Schizosaccharomyces pombe: one gene and its partners. The gene in region 1 interacts genetically with each later gene. Each region holds a gene or a part of one and is shown in the gene's direction. Other genes may lie near its edges.

Region 1 (5,060 bases):
GCGTGGAAAACCACAAAATGTGGAAAGTTCTGGAGTACGCGTAAAAGGAAATTCTACTTCAGGTGGAAATGACATTAAAGTTTTGCTCTTAGGCGCCGGTGATAGTGGGAAAACGACCATTATGAAGCAGATGAGATTATTGTATAGCCCCGGTTTTAGTCAAGTAGTTAGAAAGCAGTATCGAGTGATGATTTTTGAAAATATCATCTCCTCTCTATGTCTTCTTCTTGAAGCTATGGATAATAGTAATGTCTCTTTACTTCCGGAAAATGAGAAGTATCGGGCAGTTATCCTAAGAAAACACACTTCTCAACCCAATGAGCCATTTTCTCCAGAAATATATGAAGCTGTTCATGCCTTGACATTGGATACCAAACTTCGTACGGTGCAAAGTTGTGGTACCAACCTCTCTTTGTTAGACAATTTTTATTACTATCAAGATCACATTGATCGAATTTTTGACCCACAATATATACCTTCTGATCAAGATATCCTTCACTGTCGTATCAAGACGACCGGTATATCAGAAGAAACATTTCTGTTAAATCGTCATCATTACCGATTTTTTGATGTAGGAGGACAGAGATCAGAGCGCAGAAAATGGATTCATTGCTTTGAAAATGTCACTGCATTGTTGTTTCTCGTTTCTTTGGCAGGTTACGATCAATGCCTTGTAGAGGACAATTCAGGAAATCAGATGCAGGAGGCGTTATTATTATGGGATTCCATATGTAACTCTAGCTGGTTTTCAGAATCAGCAATGATACTTTTTCTAAATAAACTTGATTTATTTAAAAGAAAGGTTCACATTTCCCCCATCCAGAAGCATTTTCCTGATTACCAAGAAGTTGGTTCAACACCAACATTCGTACAAACTCAATGCCCTCTTGCCGACAACGCAGTTCGAAGCGGTATGTATTACTTTTACTTAAAGTTTGAAAGTCTTAATCGCATCGCTTCTCGTAGTTGCTATTGCCATTTTACCACAGCTACAGACACTAGTTTGCTCCAAAGGGTAATGGTATCCGTTCAAGATACGATTATGTCCAACAATCTACAGTCACTTATGTTTTAGATGAATTTTTCCTTAACTATCTTCATAATCTTTTCTGTCTCATTTCTCTACTTTCATTCGCACTCTAGGAAAAGCCTCTATACTTTTCCGTGAATGGTGTCTCTAGTTAATTTCCTTGCATTTTGTATGCACTTCATGTGTTATTTCTCCATCGAAACTGTTAATTAGTGCATTCTAATTGTTTTATTTCATAGCTTCTTCGAAGCTTCGTGTAATCTTATATTGTTTTAAATAGCTCAAAATTAACTGCAGTTTTTGTTATTTGATAATTTTACGATTAATACATAACTATTGTTTAATTTAATATCTAAATTTTTTCATGTCAACCGTTTGAGACAAACTAAACCCATTGATATTAATATAATTAAATTAGGCGGATTTGATCGTAAACTAAATATAAATCTATAAGGACTCGATGTTGCTTGTTTTGTTATTTTAGGCCCCTTTTTCAAATATGGCTCCAATTCGCCTGTTAATATTCAATTGTATCCTATCTTAGCAAGCTGGTGTTTTCTCTCCCAAAACCTCAAGTTTTAGAAAATAGCAATTTAATGTAGCTGCTTCAACACTCCACCCTACTATTTATATCATTACTAAGAACGAATATAGAGTCTCTTTTTTATCTTTAACTAAACGAAGATTCAATTTACTTTTATTTATAATAAGGATTTTTATTGCCCGCTTGGCATGAGTAAATAATGATCCGGTATGGAAGATCTATTAAACAATGCTAAACAGCATTTGTGTATGAGGAATCCAAAGCTAATTCGAATTGGTTTGCGTCAAGTCGAATCTATTGTATATCATGTTGCGAAACCTAGTCATGATGATAAAATTCCAAGAGAAATTTTCCTAAAATTACAGGATTCACCATTGTATAATTCTACTACCCCTTGCATTTACGCTTTGGACAGTCTCCTTGAATATCAGCAGAATGAAGAGGCATACGAAAAAAACTTTCAATTCATTCAAAAGCTAATTGATGACTTACTGCATGTGATTGAAGGATTGGTTTTAATCCATCCAAAATCACAGACGTTATTTGAAGATAAAGCTACCTTAAGGTTATTTATTCATTTATTACAGCCATCTCAGCCATCTATGTTGCAAGTGGCTGCAATGAAAACGCTTGTATGTATCATGGCAGATCGTCCACTGGCTATTAGGCTTTTTGAGCAGATTAATGGCTTGCAGCAGATATGCGTAGTTTTTAAGCACAAACAAACAAGTCAGGACACCCGATTTCAAATTCTCGAATTTTTCTATTTCTATTTATCCCCTGAACCATATTCTATAGATGTCATTGCCTACAGGAAAACGCGGACTGAGAAACAAGCTTACCTATCCAAATATCTTTCTAACGTACAAGGGCTTCGAGATGATTTAGATAAGTTTCAACCATTTGGCAAGTTAGACGAAACATTCGACTAGTTAGATGCAATGCCTGGTGCAAAAAAATGTTTAAAGTCTCATTGTTAACTTATTTTTGAAAATTTAGTATTCATTTACTAAAGAATTTCTAATGTTAATGTTAAATTATTAATCGATCATCTTACTATTGAAAGTATTCCAGCATCCTATAGCATTTGTAAAAAGTCAACCAGTTTTACTTTCATACTACTAAGAGATCCCAAACCTCCAGAATCCAGCTAAACGAACTGTGAAGACCGACAAAGATTCCGTCCCAACATGTGATATCAACTAAACTGCGTCCCTCCCCAATATCGTCTCGACGACGCAAAAAACTGAAAGAAGGAAGTCTTTGTGTGTGGGCCAAAGATGACACATTTGCACCGATACTAGAGGATATCTCATACGAAGGAGCAGTTCCTATATTTGAAGAACCCGATAACGAAGAAATGTTAAAACTGGGGGATGCAAACGTTCCATTGCTAGAGGAGGCTGTTGTTTTTGAACGGGAGGAGGAGTAGTCATTCTTTGTATTGAAAGAAGAAATCCTTAGAAACTGGACTATATGAAGAAACTTTTCAGAAATAAAACTATATCGCAAAATCAAATCTAACTGATTTGGACAAGTAGCAATAATCGCATATCTTCGAAGTCCTCCCCGGGCAGAGGGATCTCTTAAAGAAAAAGACTGACTAATAACGTAACCGTTATCTTGGTCTCCAAAGAACAAAGGATTTGACATAGAATCGGAAGCTTCAGATAGTGTTGAATATTCACAGCTCAAGCAGCGAACCATTAATCGCTTAAGGGTAGAATATCGTTGCTGAGTATGTGGATGTTGACTAGACATGTATAAAACATCGGGGTTTGTACTTGAGTTTGTATAAAGTCGTGGTTGAACATCAGGTACAGAGAATTCAAGGGGTAAAACAGTACTACATGTAACACAAGATGATTTTCTCGAAATAGGGCTTTGATTTCGAGAGTATGAGTTATGAAATGAGTTTACTCGGGGGGATTCTGGTCCTTTCGATACCTTTTTACATAAATAATCTTCAGAATCAGCTTTGAAAAGTGATTCGGTAGAACTTTGTAAAGATTGAGAATCGGCATTGTTTCGATTATCGAGTTCATTTTTGAAGGCTTCTGGTGAATCATTACCATTCTCCGTTACGCCAATAGAGCGCTTAGATGTAGGATGCTCAAAAAATTTTGAAACGGTAGAGCGATGCAATTTTTGAGTGCAAAAAATAATGGAAGGCCCCTCGGCCTCACAGAAATGTCCAAGAGCAAAAACAACATCCATTATGACTATTATGGAAATTTGGTGAGATAAAAGTGTTTAGTTGACAAAGGCGATCTGAAAGCAAATGTTTAGAAAGCGACAATGAACTTGAAAAGTTTTGATGGTGTATAATAGCTTCTAAATAATGCCTTCAAATCTAATGATTAATAAGGTGATACGTTTTAAAGTCGATAAAATGTAAGATGTGCATTCGTTCGAAAACAACCTTTTGTACTTTACCGATTTACCAAGCAAACATTCAGTTATACTGAGGTATTTCGAAAAGATTGAGGATTAGAAAAAAAATGGATTAAAGAGCTTGAAACGCTCCAGATACTGAAATTGATATGAAAATTCCTGATAAATTAGAGGATATATGTGTGCGTCTTCATCTCACACAGTACCAAAATATAATAAACACACTAGAATCTGTCCAGTTTACATTAAAAGAATTAAAAAAAAAGTTTTTCTGTTTGGAAAAAGCGGTTGATTTTCTCACTTCAAGGAATAGAATGTTCAGAAGTTTATACCAAGTTCCACATTTCCGATATTGTAGGGGAATGCTGAAGAGTCGCAAATGAGGGAATTTACGAAAAGCTAGTAATTAAGAAACTTCAAAAATGAAAACGACCTTCATAGAAAACAAGTAAAAATGCGAGTGCGTTGAGAGGGGGAGGAAGAGGTTAAAAACTGACGAGCTACAAAAAAGCGTAAGGTATCAATTAGTGCCTCTACTGTTTCGATTACTAAATACAGCCACAAACTATTGATAGTAATGTATATAAGAATTGGTATATTAAATCGTGTAAAACACAATTGCAATATGCGCGCGACCGGGCAAATCCAAGTCAGCTAGCTACCTAAGTGATACCACCAACCAATGTTTGGGTACACCCCAACACTACAAGATATGCTAACGTTTTAATTAACACAAAAACAGATGTAATTTTATTTAAATTCTGTAGAATTATCATTATATAAACAAAAAGAATGCACCATTTCTATCTATAATGTGGAAGTCTTATTTTTAAAGACAGGAGCAGCATAAATTTCAGGAGGATCATCCTTGTTTTCCATAATATAATTTTCAATCTCTTCGAGCTTCCAAGCATATTTGGCACACAACATGTTACAATTAACGGCCACGGTAGGATTGTGTAAAGCATGTTGCAAAGCCATTCTTGCAACATGATAACGAGAGGTATTGTTACACATCATCATATTAAAAGGAGTGGTAGTAGTACCTTCCTCTCGATAGCCCTCCATAGTGACCCGTGTACCTTGTATGCG
Region 2 (4,220 bases), on another chromosome or scaffold:
AGAATTGACAGAGGTTTTGAGCTGATTTTCATTGTCAAATAGTATTCACTTTATTTTTATCTTATGCTTAATTACTAAAGTATTTCGTTTATTAAGCAATGAGATTTTGCATTTGTTAATTTGATACAGCAATAATTCGCTTCTTAAATGAAGACAAAAAGTGTTAATTTATGGTATTAGGATAGAGTTGACCTAAATATGCTTTTATAAAGAAAGCTTGGCCAAAGAATTGTCTACATTTTATTGCCGTTTCGAAATACCGATGACAGAGGTGATACAGCTTCTAAACAAAATTAAACAATTTTAAACATAATAAAGAACCAAAGGAAAAAAAAGGAATCGATCAATCTCATGCCTTAATGCTGGTACAAGTTTCTTCTGAAGAATCATTCTTATAAATATTACAAATTCTTTACCGTAATACGAGAGAATACGTTATGCAGATTTAAGCATTTTAGAGAATTCTTATTTTATGAAGCACGGTACCGCAAAAGAATTTCTAGCAAGTTTGCAAGCTACAACAAACTGTCTCTCTACTCAATTATACAATTGCCATTGACTTGGCAAACTCCTCTCTACGAGTATTTAAAAGATGGAAATCGACGACATTTTTGCTTCTAAAAAGGCAAACCCTGCAAATGAAAAGTCAAATGACTCAAAGTCGGAGGCGAAAGCCCCTAAGAAAGGAGCCAAGACAAAATCTACTCCAAGTCGTCCAAAACCTACTAATAACCAAGACGATTTATTTTTAGATCCAAAGGGAGCCTCAGGAAGTAAGACACTTTTTGCCGTTTGATAGTTCATCCTTACATACGTTCTCGCTACTTGGTTAATGATTGCATTCGTTCATGTTTGGCATCCGCGTTGTTTGTCAATTCTTTGACCTCAAATTCATATTTATTGTCTAAAAGATTGAGAAACTTCGAACTGTGCTATATACTTATTTATTTATTATATACTGCTAGAGCTAGATTACGTTTTTCTAGGGAGATACATTTCACAATGATGTTTAGTGTTGGTGGAGACTCCAAATCATTAAGCTCTATTGTGTGGTATTGAACCTTATTCGCTATTCTGTTTACGGGAATGTTTGCCGAACGATGCAATACTTACCTAGCAACGGCACTTTTCTCCTTATCATCAGTAATTGTATTAACGTTTTGTGTTTTAGGAAAGCGTACCGAGGAAGGGTTTCTTGTATATGACGAGGAGGAATTAAACATTGGCCAAGGTGGAGGTACACCGGATTGCCCTTTTGATTGTCAGTGTTGTAAGTAACTTATTCATTGCATTTAAAAACTTTTCCATGGCATTTTTTCTCTTGCTAGCTCTATACTAATACTAATACCTTAAGGTTTTTGATCTCAACGTCGTTGTCGTTTTTTCAGGTTGGTTACCGTTTTTTTTTGGCTTGTCATACTTAATCTATGTTTTCTAATATCATCCATGATCCAGTTGTTGAAGCGTAGACATTTTCATAGCCGTGATTATCCTGTTTATTAGTGGTAGTGTCTTTCAATCAAACCTTTTACTGGTTTAATTCAAAAAATAGTTGATTTGTCCCTTTGGCAACAAAAGGTAAATAAACAATCCCTGGGTCTGTGTTTACACTTGTATTGCGTTGTTGTGATATGGTTCGGTAATCCATGCAATGTAAACAAATAGTGACTTGTTTTGCGGTAAAGTGAAGCATAAAATTCAACAATTGTCGTCATAGCAACGGAGTAGCTATTTGATATAAACAAATAGCCAGCGCACCAAACATTGCTGTAACAAACAAAAAAAAATCGAAGAGTGATTAGTTCAATCATCTACTGGGTTAGACTGGCTTTGAGCCACACTTTCATCTCACTTCAAGTTATCAAGCACTCTTTTCAAGAGTCATTTCTCTCATCGTTCTCTCCTTGATTTCTCTACGCATTGCACTAGATACTCGCTATCCTAAGTAAACAAGACAATGTCGCTTTCATATTTATCATCTTCTTCGCAAAAGTCGTTTGAATCATTTCGACAAGAAGAGAGTCCAGCTTGTAATCATTCGTACCAAAGGGATTATGAAACTTTTGGCGATAGCAAGCATACTTCTTTTTCCTCCTTCGCTCCCTTTGAAAATGAGGTGTCTTTAAATCAAGCTGTTATCCCTTCACCGCCTTCTCATCTTCAGAACTTTCAAGATCAGTTTGACTATAGTTCTGTTCTAAAAACACCGTTTAACCCTTTGTTGGAAGCGAATTCTGCATACTTTTTATCGAACCAAATATCGCTCCCCGACTCTCACTCGTATGCATCCTCCTTTGATGCTTCCTTATCACCCCCTTCCTCGCCTTTAACTTGCGTATCACAAATCCATACCGAGCAAAATTTTAATAACAATGACGCATTTTCCTTGACCAACTCTCAACAGGCCTTTTCCGAAATTGGTTATGATGCATCAAATTGGATTGATGAGCTGGACTCTCAACAACAAGTCCTTTCGTTTCCTGAGTTTGACATACCAGAAATAAAGACGGAAACTTGCTCCAACAAAGATCACCTCGAAAATTTCGACTACCTTTCCTCAAGTATACCTGAAACCTCGGGTCCTGCCTCTTCCGTTCTTCCCAGCTCTTCGCAATTGGAATCATTTAATGAGTTTATGTTCCTCCCATCCTCTCCCCCTGGATTAGATGAGATAAACGGTGCGCCTTCATTTGAAGAATTGAACTTTCAAATATCCCAACCAAGTCCGGCACATCCTGTAGACTTATCGAGTCCAGAGACTGCACCTAATATCTCCCCTGTATCCCCATTTGCCCAACTTGTAAAGCTAGAGCCCACTTCGCCTCAAAAGCCCTCCTTTGCTCTAGATTCTTCGTTTTCCCATTTGGATGTATGCAGGCATACTGACAACCAGAAAGCGTTTGCAAAGTTATCATCACCTGCTGAATACGTTTCTGAATTTGAAAAATTCTCATCCGTTTGCGATCATGGACTTGACATATCGAACGCAAATATCAACAACACTTTGACACAGCAGTTTGCATTAAGTGCACCTTATGAATCTTGCATAGTTACCAAGAAACCTGAACCTTGTATCACTGTCAAGGAAGAAGAACAATTAGCTCCAAAAATTGAATCTGCTGATTTATCAATTACTCCTCAAGTCACCGAGCATGATTCCAAACCTCCGGTCAGAATTTCATACGATCATAGATGCAAAACTCGCAAGCAATCAACTAGGATTTGTAGAATTCCTCCGGAGACAATGGCTAGCTTATATTGCGGCCCTGAAGCAGATGGAAAGTACGTCTGTTTGTACAACGGGTGCAATAAACGTATTGCTCGCAAATATAATGTTGAATCGCATATTCAAACACATCTGAGCGACCGTCCGTATCGCTGTGACTTATGCAAAGCTGGCTTTGTTCGTCACCACGATCTTAAGCGTCATCTGAGGATTCACGAAAATGGCAGGCCATATGTATGTGAATGCTTAAAGAGATTTAACCGACTTGATGCCTTAAATCGGCATAAGCAGAGAAATATATGTGTTGGCGGCGTAGATCGCAGACAGCACTAATGATGACAGCTGTACAACTTGCATCGCATTGCATTATAATGAGTTATGTTTGGTTTTTTTTTGGGATTTTTTAATTTTACTAATATTATTGTTTTTAATTTGCTTTTATATAAATTCAAATTCAAGCATCGTACATGAACTAATGCTGTGACAATTTTGATAATTTATCAACTTGTATCTGTCTTTTGTATATTTATTCATCACCCTAGTATTGTGTATAACTCTGCATCATCTAAAATCTACAGATTAATCTTTGTGAAATGGAAATACAACTATGAAGTTGTTCGTATCGTTGAACGGCTGAAATGGTAAAACTAGTTTCCCCAAACCTGACAAACAACTTGGATACATGAGTAAGAATTAGTGTTTGCTTTCACTCGCACCGATGTTTAGTCAACATATGTTTAAGTTGGTATTTCTAGGGAAAACTTGTATTTAATTACTATAGTATGCGAAGTATTTCATTGGAAAACAGTGGTTGTAGTATGCTGCCAAGCAAGCATTTATTATGATAATAATAATTCAACAAATTAATCACTATGACTTAAACAGAGAAACCAATGATTGTTTTAACTATTATTGCTGGTCATTGGAGGAAATTTTGTCGGCAAGAGAAAAGATAATTCATTTCTATTTGCAAAGAACCAAAAAATACGAAAAC
Region 3 (6,996 bases), 1.2 Mb from region 1:
AGATTATTCCGTTACACAACACATTATTGACTAAACTTCCGTATATGAATTGAGTGTACGTTTTCACCATCATCAGTCAGTTCATTCGGTCGATACGCATGTGGCATGAATTTACCAGTTTTACGTGTTTCGTACAATGACAATTTGTGATTGCCGGTTTTGATGAATTCATCATGATACGATGGATTTGCTTCACTAGCAACGCCTATATGTTTAAAATGAAGACACTTAGGTCTAGAAATCTCTGTTTTTCTGTTTTCTGTTAAATCATTTTACCGAGAATAAAGGGGTATGTATGATGGATGGGGTACTTTCAATTCTTTGCTTTTCCTCGACCCACTGTAACCCAAGCAACATGCTAAAGAAAGCGAATCGGCCGTTTTCTCGATTTGAGTAGTATTATCATTGTTATTATAATTTGATATTTTAATATTGTTTTACTAGCAAGATCAACTTCCCTTTGTTCTTTTACATAGCGCAATTCCTCCTAGCTGAACACCTGACCGACCCCTTAACCCCTCCTCGTTCTCCCTTTGCCAAAATAAAAAAAAATAAAAAAAATAAAGAAAATATCAATAAATAATTTAATAAAAATTTTTTTTAAACAAAAATAGTTTTGAAACCCAAAATTAGGTAGACTATCTTTTGTATCATGCCGTAATTCGTATTCTCCGTCGTGTTTGCCAAAATTCAATCATCACTCAGATACTGTCAATAATAGCTTTTATATTTCAAATTATTCATCAATTTCATTTGTACTTTATTCATTTATTCCATTTTTCAACTTTTATTTAGATATCCTTACTCTTGTCTTTTTTACGTTTGTTTATGTCTTTTTGATGGATGGTTCTTGCAACTCGTTTTGCCATCTCCATCTCCCGCTGCTACTCTAAGCAAAAGCATTGCCGATGCATAACAACGCCTTCCGTAATTTTTATTAGTCCTCCGTATGACCACATTTGTCTGTAGTAAAAATGAGCTGTCCAGTCGAGAACTCCAGCTTCGTATGCATGCTTCCGGATCCTATCGTGCTCAAAGACCATCCCGCTATCTTACTTTACAATGTAGATTTGAACACGCCCCAGTGTGGAGGTAAACTTTCTGGGCCTTTTGAGCAATGGTAAGTACGTGTCTTCCGTTCATTATCCCAATCAGCTACAATTTATCGCCAATACTCTCCAATGAATGGAAGAACAATTACCAAACAAACACTGGGGATTGTGCCCACAGTAGATTGCGTGTAGAAGGGATAACAAACATGCTATTGCCATGCATGCATCTACACCAAGGAAATTAGAAAAAAATTTGTTCAAAAACGAAAAACTATTCTTTTTGATAATATGTGTAAAAATAAAATAAAATAAAATAAAATAAAATAAAATAAAATAAAATACCAATACATTTTGTTTCATATAGAATATAGAACTGCTCATAAATTAAAAAATAGCCTGCATCAAAAAAATTTATTCCAATTCCCTCGTCTTTACCTAAAACAACTAATACTGTACTACTTTTTTTAAATCGCATTCCTTTAGAGCACGCACTTTTCGAACCAATACACCGCCATTCTATGCAATGCTTCCCCTTTCCCTATTGTAATTCTACCGATAATTTTATTCTCGGAGTTGTTTTATGACTTTCTAATTTACTTTGTAAATTTTTCTTTTTTTGAAAGCTCCTCCATCTGTCCTTGCTCACGTTTGCCATCTTTCCATTTCAACACTGTAGTGTACTGCGCCACAACATCCGCACTGAGTGTCTTTTGCACATACCACTGATTTTACCGACATTCCCCACTTTTAAACAACTTGTAAGCACAGGGCTTGTTGAGTCCATCAACTTGCTCTTTCGACATCTTCTAGGTCGTTGACTTTACGTAGTATAAAGTGGCATTGATGCTCGAACACAATTAACTAATCTTAACACATTGATAATTGGTTTCTTTGTGTTTTAAACAAAAAAAAATTTCATCTCTTTTGTTGTCCCATATATATATTGATTGCGTGTAACCTTGAAATAACCTCAATTTCTGTACCGGGGTCGTTGCGTATCGAAACACTATTGTTATCGTCCTAGCATATTTGGATACTGTGTACTACACTATTGTCGTGCTCTCTTTTACTTTACTTTACTCACTTTTCCTTCCTTCTTGCCCGACACGACATTGAAACTGCTGGCTTCCTAGCCTTGCTCCTCCTTTTCGACCGGACCTGCTACGTGCTGTAAATTGATTAATCGTATACAATTGTGGTTTTTGACAATTTTCTTTTATTCTGTCGATTTTCTCTTTTTCTCTTATCACGACTTTCTGCTTCTCTTCTACAATATTTTGCTAATCGGCTTGTGTTGTATCAACAGCAAAGCTAAGTGACTTGACATTACTAGAATTCTTCCTTTCCTTCAAAAACACGTGCAAGTTTGTTCCATTTTAATATCTACGTTTCCTTCCTTGATTGCACTATTTCATCATTAGAGGGAACCACTTTTCTATATTACCAAGCACCTACTTATTTGGGATTTATTTATTTTTATTTCCTACGGCTAACTCGATTACGATTAGTGCGCGGCTTTTTCTCTTTGGAAAAATTTTTCTTGTTGGAACGGTTGTCAATCGCGTGCTATATTGCTTTCCTTCTTACCCGTTTACAATTTAGCTTTCCCTTTTCTCCTTTTGCAATTTTTTTTGGGTTTTTTTTAAAACGTACACACGCACTGTGTATTCCATCTAGCCATCAATCCTTCATTTTTTTTCCACCGATTAATCCTTTTCTATATATACCGGAATTTTCCGTCTTTTCTTTTTCGGACACTTTTACGAGCTGTTGCGAATTTCGTTATTCTTAGTTTGTGTTATTTGCTTTTAGCCGCCCTTTTTCTTCTTCTCTGCATCAACATAACAGGTCAGGGACCAGACAGGACAGGACGAAACAACAACGTAATCGTTCAACCAACTTCTATTACCATCGACCTCTAACTTACCGACTTACCACCACAACACTTTCCTCCAGAATAGTTGAAAGCCTTTTGACTTTGCTGAATCTTTCTTTGTGTGTCCGTGTGTGTGTCTGTTTTTTTCAAATTCATCACTGTTTGAATATCGGCATCTCATCCTTTTTCTCAATTTCTCAATTTCTTGCCTGAGATACCGTTTGTTCTTTCCGTTGAATACTTTTTTTCTGCAGTGTGAAAAAATTCCGTTTTACGTTGACAAAACATTTATCTCGGATTGAAAGTTGTTTTCGTAGCTGTTTGTTTTAGTCTATTCCTTTCAACCGGTTTTCTTGTCTCTGTTAGATTTGTTTTCTCTTCTTCATTCTGAGTCAAGCTCTGGGTTTTTTTCTTTGTTGGAAAACCATTCTCTTTTCAATTTTATTTCTCTTTTCTGATATCGAAGCAAAAGAGCTCCTAAACGCTCTCAATTACTGTTTAACGTAACAGATATATTAACATCTTAGTATATTTGCGTTTTATTTGTTGAAACTTTCGCATATCCCCTTAAAGCTTTTTGTGGCAATCCTTATCTGATATTGATTTATTCTTTTGATTCGCCATTTCTTTCGACGTTTTTAAAGTACTCTAAAAGAGAAATTATTTAAAATACTTTAAATTGGGCTCTGTTCTTTTCTCCATCCCACTTTTGTATCTTTGCAGCAATAGTCGGTTTGGTTGATAATCCCTATATTTCTTTGGACAAGATATTATCTTTTGCTGAAAAAACACCCCATCTTTCGATTTTGAAATTTTTTTTTCTGTTTCAATTTCTTATTTCTTTCTACTGATTACTCTCCTCATCAATTCTCACTCTTTTTTCATTTCAAATCTCGCTTTTATCCTATATCAGTGATAAAACTCCTGTTTGATGCTCACCTTGCACATTGGCACTAACTTTAACGTTTTCCCTTTATATCCGCAAATTCCCTTTTTTTTGTGCTTCGTATATTAAAAGCGTTCCCTTATTAGGTTTTTTTATACATTAAGGATTTACGATTAGTCTCATTTTGTTGTGTTTTGAGATTTGTGTTTTATGTTCATCTGTTGTATTCACTTACTTCAGAGAAAAAAAAGGCGTTTTTGTTCTTTTGGTTTAAATTTTATTCCCTAAAATTTGCATTCAACTCGGATTTTTTCTTTGTTTGACGACTGTTTTTTGAAAAGGATTGCTTTGGGTCACAAACACAATACATCCATCTATTAAACTTTTGTCTTCTATACTTTTACTTCCTTCTCAAAATCTTTCCTTATATCATTGTGTGGTTTCTCTCCGTTTTCTTGTATCTTTTCTGTTCGACTTCTGAAAAAACAGCGTCTCTATACTATTGATTTTCATCTTAAATTTGCGTGTTTTCTTTTTAACTCTACGTTTCTCTCGTTTTTCTGCATATTACTTTCGGTGATTACCCTGTAATTCTATTTTGAAGGTTGACGTTTTTTTCAAGTTCCTGATTCCATAATTCTATTTAACACAAGTTTTTTACTGGAATTTTTTAAGTTATTCTGCGCAACCTTTTTTTGATTCATTTTACAACTTCTTTGTTCGTTTATAACTAATCTTCTATTGTATCACTTTTTTCTAGTGAACTTCATTAATTTATTGCGTGTCTGTTTTTTATTCTTTTAACCATGGTTTATTCTCCTATGTCTCGACCTCAAGTACCTCTGGCTTTTCGCCAATGGCCCCCCTACAATTATAAGAGTGATCCCCTTGTCAACTCAAAACTATCTCAGTCTACTACGTCTGTTAATGCAGGACCCAGTTTAATAAGTCCATCATTCCTTGACTCCTACGCCAACTCCTCATCTTTACTTCACAAGCCATCTACAAATTTGGGCAGTTTAAAGACATCTAGTCTTCTCGCCTCTGATGAAGTTTTCCCTTCTTCAGTCATGCCCCAGCTTCGTCCATTGGATTCAAGTTTATCTGTTTCTCCTGAAATGGACGGTTGGCCATGGCATCACAATTCTTCTTCTAACCCACAGGGATACGCATGGACACCTTCATTACTTTCTTCCAACGCTACTAGCTATTTACATTCTGGTAGTTCTCCTCATGGAAACACAAGCAATCATCCTTCACCTATATCATCCTTGGAGAGTCTTCCTTCTCGTAGTAGCACTGGTAGTGGTAGTCTTGATTTTTCCGGCCTTGCCAATCTCCACGATGATTCCAAATCACTGGCCATGTCTTTGAACATGGCTGGCGTCCCTGTATCCGTCGATGAGAACTCTCAAACTTCGTTTCCTTTTGTTCATGGTCAACCGGAATCTACCATGTCTAGAAAACCTAAGCTGTGCGTTCAATCGAAATCAATGACAAACATCCGCAACTCTGTTGCTAAACCGTCGTTAGTTAGACAATCGCATTCAGCGGGGGTTATTCCCATCAAGCCTACAGCATCGAATGCCTCAATTCGCAATGCTCCTTCCAATTTATCAAAGCAATTTTCACCTTCGGGTAATAGTCCTCTTACTGAGGCTTCCAAACCTTTCGTTCCTCAACCATCAGCTGCAGGAGATTTTCGCCAAGCTAAGGGTTCAGCTAGCCATCCTCATGGTTCTGGCAGTAGTAATGGGGTAGCTCCCAACGGCAAGCGCGCATTATATAAGACCGAGCCTTGCAAGAATTGGCAAATTAGTGGAACTTGCCGTTATGGCTCTAAATGTCAATTTGCGCATGGCAACCAGGAACTGAAAGAACCTCCTCGTCACCCAAAATACAAAAGCGAGCGTTGCCGATCTTTCATGATGTATGGTTATTGTCCTTACGGATTGCGATGCTGCTTTTTGCATGATGAATCCAATGCTCAAAAAAGTGCAACTATTAAGCAATCTCCTTGATATCACATCAGCTTGTATAAGATGACTTTTGTTCTTTGTTGTTATGCAATCTGGGTGAGATTAATTTATTATGACGCTTACTTTCCTATCCTCCTTGGTTTTCTTATACGGTTATTATTTATATTGTTCTTCTGTAACATTATGTGAGCTTTTCTTTTGCAATCGCCTTTACCTTGTTTTTATTTATGGTTTTATCGCAAGGTTTGAGTTTGCCAGTCATGTTCACACTTTATTCTTTATTTATTTGATGACCTTATTGGTCAAGATAGAATTTATAAGAGAAAAAAATTAAAGAAGATCATGAGTTAGTTACTCTGTCATATGTCAGGGTACTGTTTTTATTTTTGCAAATCATGTACCTTTAGCTTTTTGCAGAATGGCGATTTAAAGAGTTATGAGAAGATTGGACAATATATATTTATAGTATTAAATTCGAATCTTGTTTACTTCGTCTAGCAATGCGATACGCATGAATCGGGGTTTTATTAGATTTGTGTGGTATCTGTAATATACTGTTATAATTCGAATCAAGGGAGTTTCTTAAAATACCCAATCTTATTACGAAAATGATTTATGCAATCAGGGAGATTTGATGAGCGAAGCCTATGTATTATTTGAATAACAGTAACGTTACTGCAAAAATTTAAGTAGTTATTTGAATGTTGTGCACTTTTCATAAACATAGATTTGCAATATGCATCAAAAATTTGTAACGCAATTCTGTACTGCTTACAAACAATTTTATTCACGAGAAAACTACCAGGCTATACATAGTAACACATACAAGCATTTTTGGAAAGTTAGTTAAAAAAATTCATTAAACTCGGACTACTTTACTCGTTATTTAATCGCTATCGGCTTGCTGTTCCAAGATAACTAATGAATTGATCTTCTGCAGAGCCAATTCCAAACATTGCCGCTTATGCTGCAACTGTAGCTGTGACTTGAGACGAGGATTTTCATTGACAAATGCATTCAACTGTTCAGAACTCAAAGAATGGATGAGACGCTGATCCAGTTCACGTGGAAATTGGTAATAAAACTCAGAAAGCAGCTCAATATTAATAAATAAAACTGCGGTATTAACCAGTTTATCAGAAACGGCATTTAAAAAAATTTCAGGACAGGTGTACTTCGCTTCTTTGTGCTTACAGGCCCTAG
Region 4 (3,106 bases), 1.9 Mb from region 1:
AAAGAGGATGGTTGTAAGGAGAAAAAGTGTACAGAATAATTTATCTCGAAATCTCAAAGCTCAAGAGAAAGCTAATGACTATAAAACTATCGTCCGCAATGTATGCGGTAATTCCTTAACACTGAAAATCCAGTTTGCAATCTGTTAAAAAATGTTCATGAAAATCAGTTAATCTATGTAGTGTAAATGGGTAACTTTTCAACCATATGGTTTAGGGAAATGGAAAGAAATGGGTATAAATAACAGTTTTTTCTAGTGAGAAATGAATAGTTTGAGGAACAACCCAGCAACAATGCACGTGAAAAGTACGGAAAACAAAGAAAGAATTTCAAGTCTGTGCTTCAATCGAACAGTCGTATGCAATTTCTTAGGGCCCGGAAAATTCCCTGTTTCAAGAAGCGTATCGATAAGTTTATCTTTCTCATACCATCTTTGATAAAGCCAATCCGTAAACTGATCTTCTTCAGTGGGAATTTCCGAAATTGGGAAGCGACGAACGTGAATATGAAGCCTTTTGATGGGGACTCCTTCAAAAAAGAGCTTAGGTAAAGAGAAAGCATCGGCGGCATATTTCTTAGGAGAGGGATCAGAAAAATAAAATGTGTAATCGTACAAATAAGTCATCGAATCACGAAGCTGACTGATACTATAAAAGAGCCCTCGCACACGTGGGAGCATTAAATGCTTTGGCATTTTGACTCCAATTTTATCGGCATACACCCTGCTCCTTTGATATGTGCTTTCAACCAAGTTGGTTCCTTCTGGGAAGAGAATGAGACTGACGGAATCACGTACATTGCGAATGAACTTGAAATGACGAGACATAGTCTCGTAGTCTTTGTCCCATTTGCGAGAAAGGAAAATGAATCTAAACAATTGCATACCCCAACCTATAACTGGCAACCATTTGAGAGAGTTTTTTAACATAATATAAACATGACCATGCTGTTTAGCAGTGTACGATAACCACCAAACGTACATCCAGTCCGAGTAAAGTTGATGGTTTGCGATAACTATGTTGCGTTCAGCAGCAATTGTTTCCAAGCAACCATTTCTATCCAAATAAAACAAATTTCGAAGCTCGGGATCATAGGTGAGAGTTACAGGAGTCGGACTAAAAAGCTGGACCAAAGCGGTAAACAGAATACCGGCGAATGATTTTGTAAAAGCAATATATTTGTTATAAAGCTCCTTGTTGACAAAATACAGAGGAGTTCCAATAACTTCCGAGGTATAAATGGTAACTGAACCAACAGCCAAACATAATATGAATGAATACTTGCGAATCGCAATTCTGCATGTCATGTTGTCAAACCTAAATGAATTAAAGGAACCTAAATCAAATCTCAAGAAATAAAAGACTGTTAAATAGAATCCAGAGAAAGTTAGCAAAGTCGGTTTTAGTGATGCCCTTTCGCGTTTCTCACCGCACAGTAAAAGTCGTACACGAACACTAAATAGACACCAATTTGAGCAAAAAAAATCCCAAAAAGAAAATTAAAAGCTCTCTGCTTTCTTTTTAATTTCTTAGCCGCACGTTTAGCACCAAAGTGTAATTCAGGGAATGTCAGTGGTTATAGGCAGTGGGTAAAGAAGTAGCGATCGTACGTTGTCAATTTGTAAAAGTGCTCGGACCTAAACATACGGTCGTATGAATATGATAGGTATTCCAGTAATTAATTTGCGCTTAATATTGGTTGGCTGGATGGTCTTGAAAGTTGAACGGTAGAATGACCACGTTTGTTTACGAGGAAGGGACGATGAGTGGAAGGTTGGCACAAACCAAGCCTACCAGAACCCAACTCATACCAACTTTTTTGCATTTTCTTTCATGTTTGGATTTAGTAATAAGACAGCGAAGACATTCCGTGTAAGGAAGACTGAAGCGGGAACGAAGCATTATCAACTACGGCAATATGCTGAAGCAACGCTGGGATCTGGCTCTTTGATGGAAGCAGTAAAACTGCCCAAGGGAGAAGATTTGAATGAATGGATTGCTATGAACAGTAAGCTAAGATATAAAATTGACACTTCAAGAACTTTTATTAATTGAATACTTCTAGCAATGGATTTTTATACACAAATTAATATGTTGTATGGTACAATCACTGAATTTTGTACGGCGGCTTCCTGTCCTCAAATGAATGCTGGACCAAGTTATGAATATTACTGGCAGGATGATAAAATATACACCAAACCCACTCGCATGAGTGCTCCCGACTATATTAACAATCTGTTGGATTGGACTCAAGAAAAGTTGGATGACAAGAAGCTCTTCCCCACTGAGATTGGTGTTGAATTCCCAAAGAATTTTCGCAAAGTGATTCAGCAAATATTTCGAAGGTTGTTTCGCATTTATGCTCATATTTACTGTTCCCACTTTCACGTAATGGTAGCAATGGAGCTTGAAAGCTATCTGAATACATCATTTAAACACTTTGTATTTTTCTGTAGGGAATTTGGGTATGTGTTTCAATTTACTTACTTAAAGATGTTAACAACAAATTTCAGCCTTATGGATAACAAGGAATATGCACCAATGCAAGACTTGGTAGATAGCATGGTTTAAGAACAGTTTTGTAGTTATTCAGGAACAGGAAATGGGAGGTAAACTCGGTTCCCAAACTTACCAATTTAATGTTTTATTTTATCCCTACCATTACCATTTTATCCAGACCTTAGCACAATTTTTTATGGAAAATTTCTTCTTTTCATTTCAATCATTCACTTGAGTGATTACCATAAAGAATAGTTGCTAAAATTACTCTTTCTACTCCTCCACTTTTTTCTTATGACACTGCATTCTTTTAACTACTTTTGAAAAGTGTGGCATATCGCCTTTGCATAGGCTACTTGTGCAAAATATTCTCGCATTCTCTAAAGTGTCTATCTTCATACAATTCATTTTATTTATAACATTTCATGTATCATATGTCTCTGGAATCTTTATTTCAGGTTTCTGTTAAATACCGAAAAAGACTGCATCGTTATTTGAGAAACTACTTACTGAATGGTGGTGGATGTGAGATAGTAAATGTGCGAAATAATCTGAACTTTTTAATTCCCTATTATTTTAGTCTTTTTGCTTTTCATCTTATTTTTTTTT

The links.
Region 2: of cdc14 (region 1) and ace2, a mutation in one rescues a mutant of the other (synthetic rescue), as found in Schizosaccharomyces pombe (one study listed by BioGRID).
Region 3: of cdc14 (region 1) and zfs1, a mutation in one rescues a mutant of the other (synthetic rescue), as found in Schizosaccharomyces pombe (one study listed by BioGRID).
Region 4: mutations in cdc14 (region 1) and mob1 are lethal when combined (synthetic lethality), as found in Schizosaccharomyces pombe (one study listed by BioGRID).

The regions. Positions count from the first base shown.
Region 1 is NC_003423.3:2,330,487-2,335,546, forward strand, and holds cdc14 (SIN component Cdc14), read left to right. Parts: upstream 1-1,639; 5' UTR 1,640-1,783; coding exon 1,784-2,506; 3' UTR 2,507-2,687; coding exon of another isoform or gene 2,688-3,791; 3' UTR 3,792-4,543; downstream 4,544-5,060. Other genes in the region: gpa1 (G-protein alpha subunit), read left to right, coding at 1-1,075; folliculin bhd1, read right to left, coding at 2,688-3,791; SPOM_SPBC24C6.09C (phosphoketolase family protein), read right to left, coding at 4,776-5,060. UniProt on the Schizosaccharomyces pombe protein: Has a role in the septation initiation network (SIN) required for cytokinesis.
Region 2 is NC_003424.3:3,238,705-3,242,924, reverse strand, and holds ace2 (DNA-binding transcription factor Ace2), read left to right. Parts: upstream 1-1,771; 5' UTR 1,772-1,957; coding exon 1,958-3,559; 3' UTR 3,560-3,693; downstream 3,694-4,220. Other genes in the region: SPOM_SPAC6G9.01C (uncharacterized protein), read left to right, coding at 593-773, 1,172-1,270, 1,355-1,362. UniProt on the Schizosaccharomyces pombe protein: Regulates the transcription of genes required for cell separation.
Region 3 is NC_003423.3:3,482,293-3,489,288, reverse strand, and holds zfs1 (zinc finger protein), read left to right. Parts: upstream 1-1,842; 5' UTR 1,843-4,620; coding exon 4,621-5,835; 3' UTR 5,836-6,441; downstream 6,442-6,996. Other genes in the region: dynamin family GTPase Msp1, read right to left, coding at 6,680-6,996. UniProt on the Schizosaccharomyces pombe protein: Binds to specific AU-rich elements (ARE) in the 3'-untranslated region of target mRNAs and promotes their degradation. Binds to ARE present in the arz1 mRNA and stimulates the rate of arz1 mRNA decay.
Region 4 is NC_003423.3:468,851-471,956, reverse strand, and holds mob1 (Sid2-Mob1 kinase complex regulatory subunit Mob1), read left to right. Parts: upstream 1-1,793; 5' UTR 1,794-1,831; coding exon 1,832-2,006; intron 2,007-2,063; coding exon 2,064-2,463; intron 2,464-2,511; coding exon 2,512-2,569; downstream 2,570-3,106. Other genes in the region: mlg1 (1-acylglycerol-3-phosphate acyltransferase), read right to left, coding at 253-1,305. UniProt on the Schizosaccharomyces pombe protein: Has a role in promoting the onset of septum formation during the latter stages of mitosis.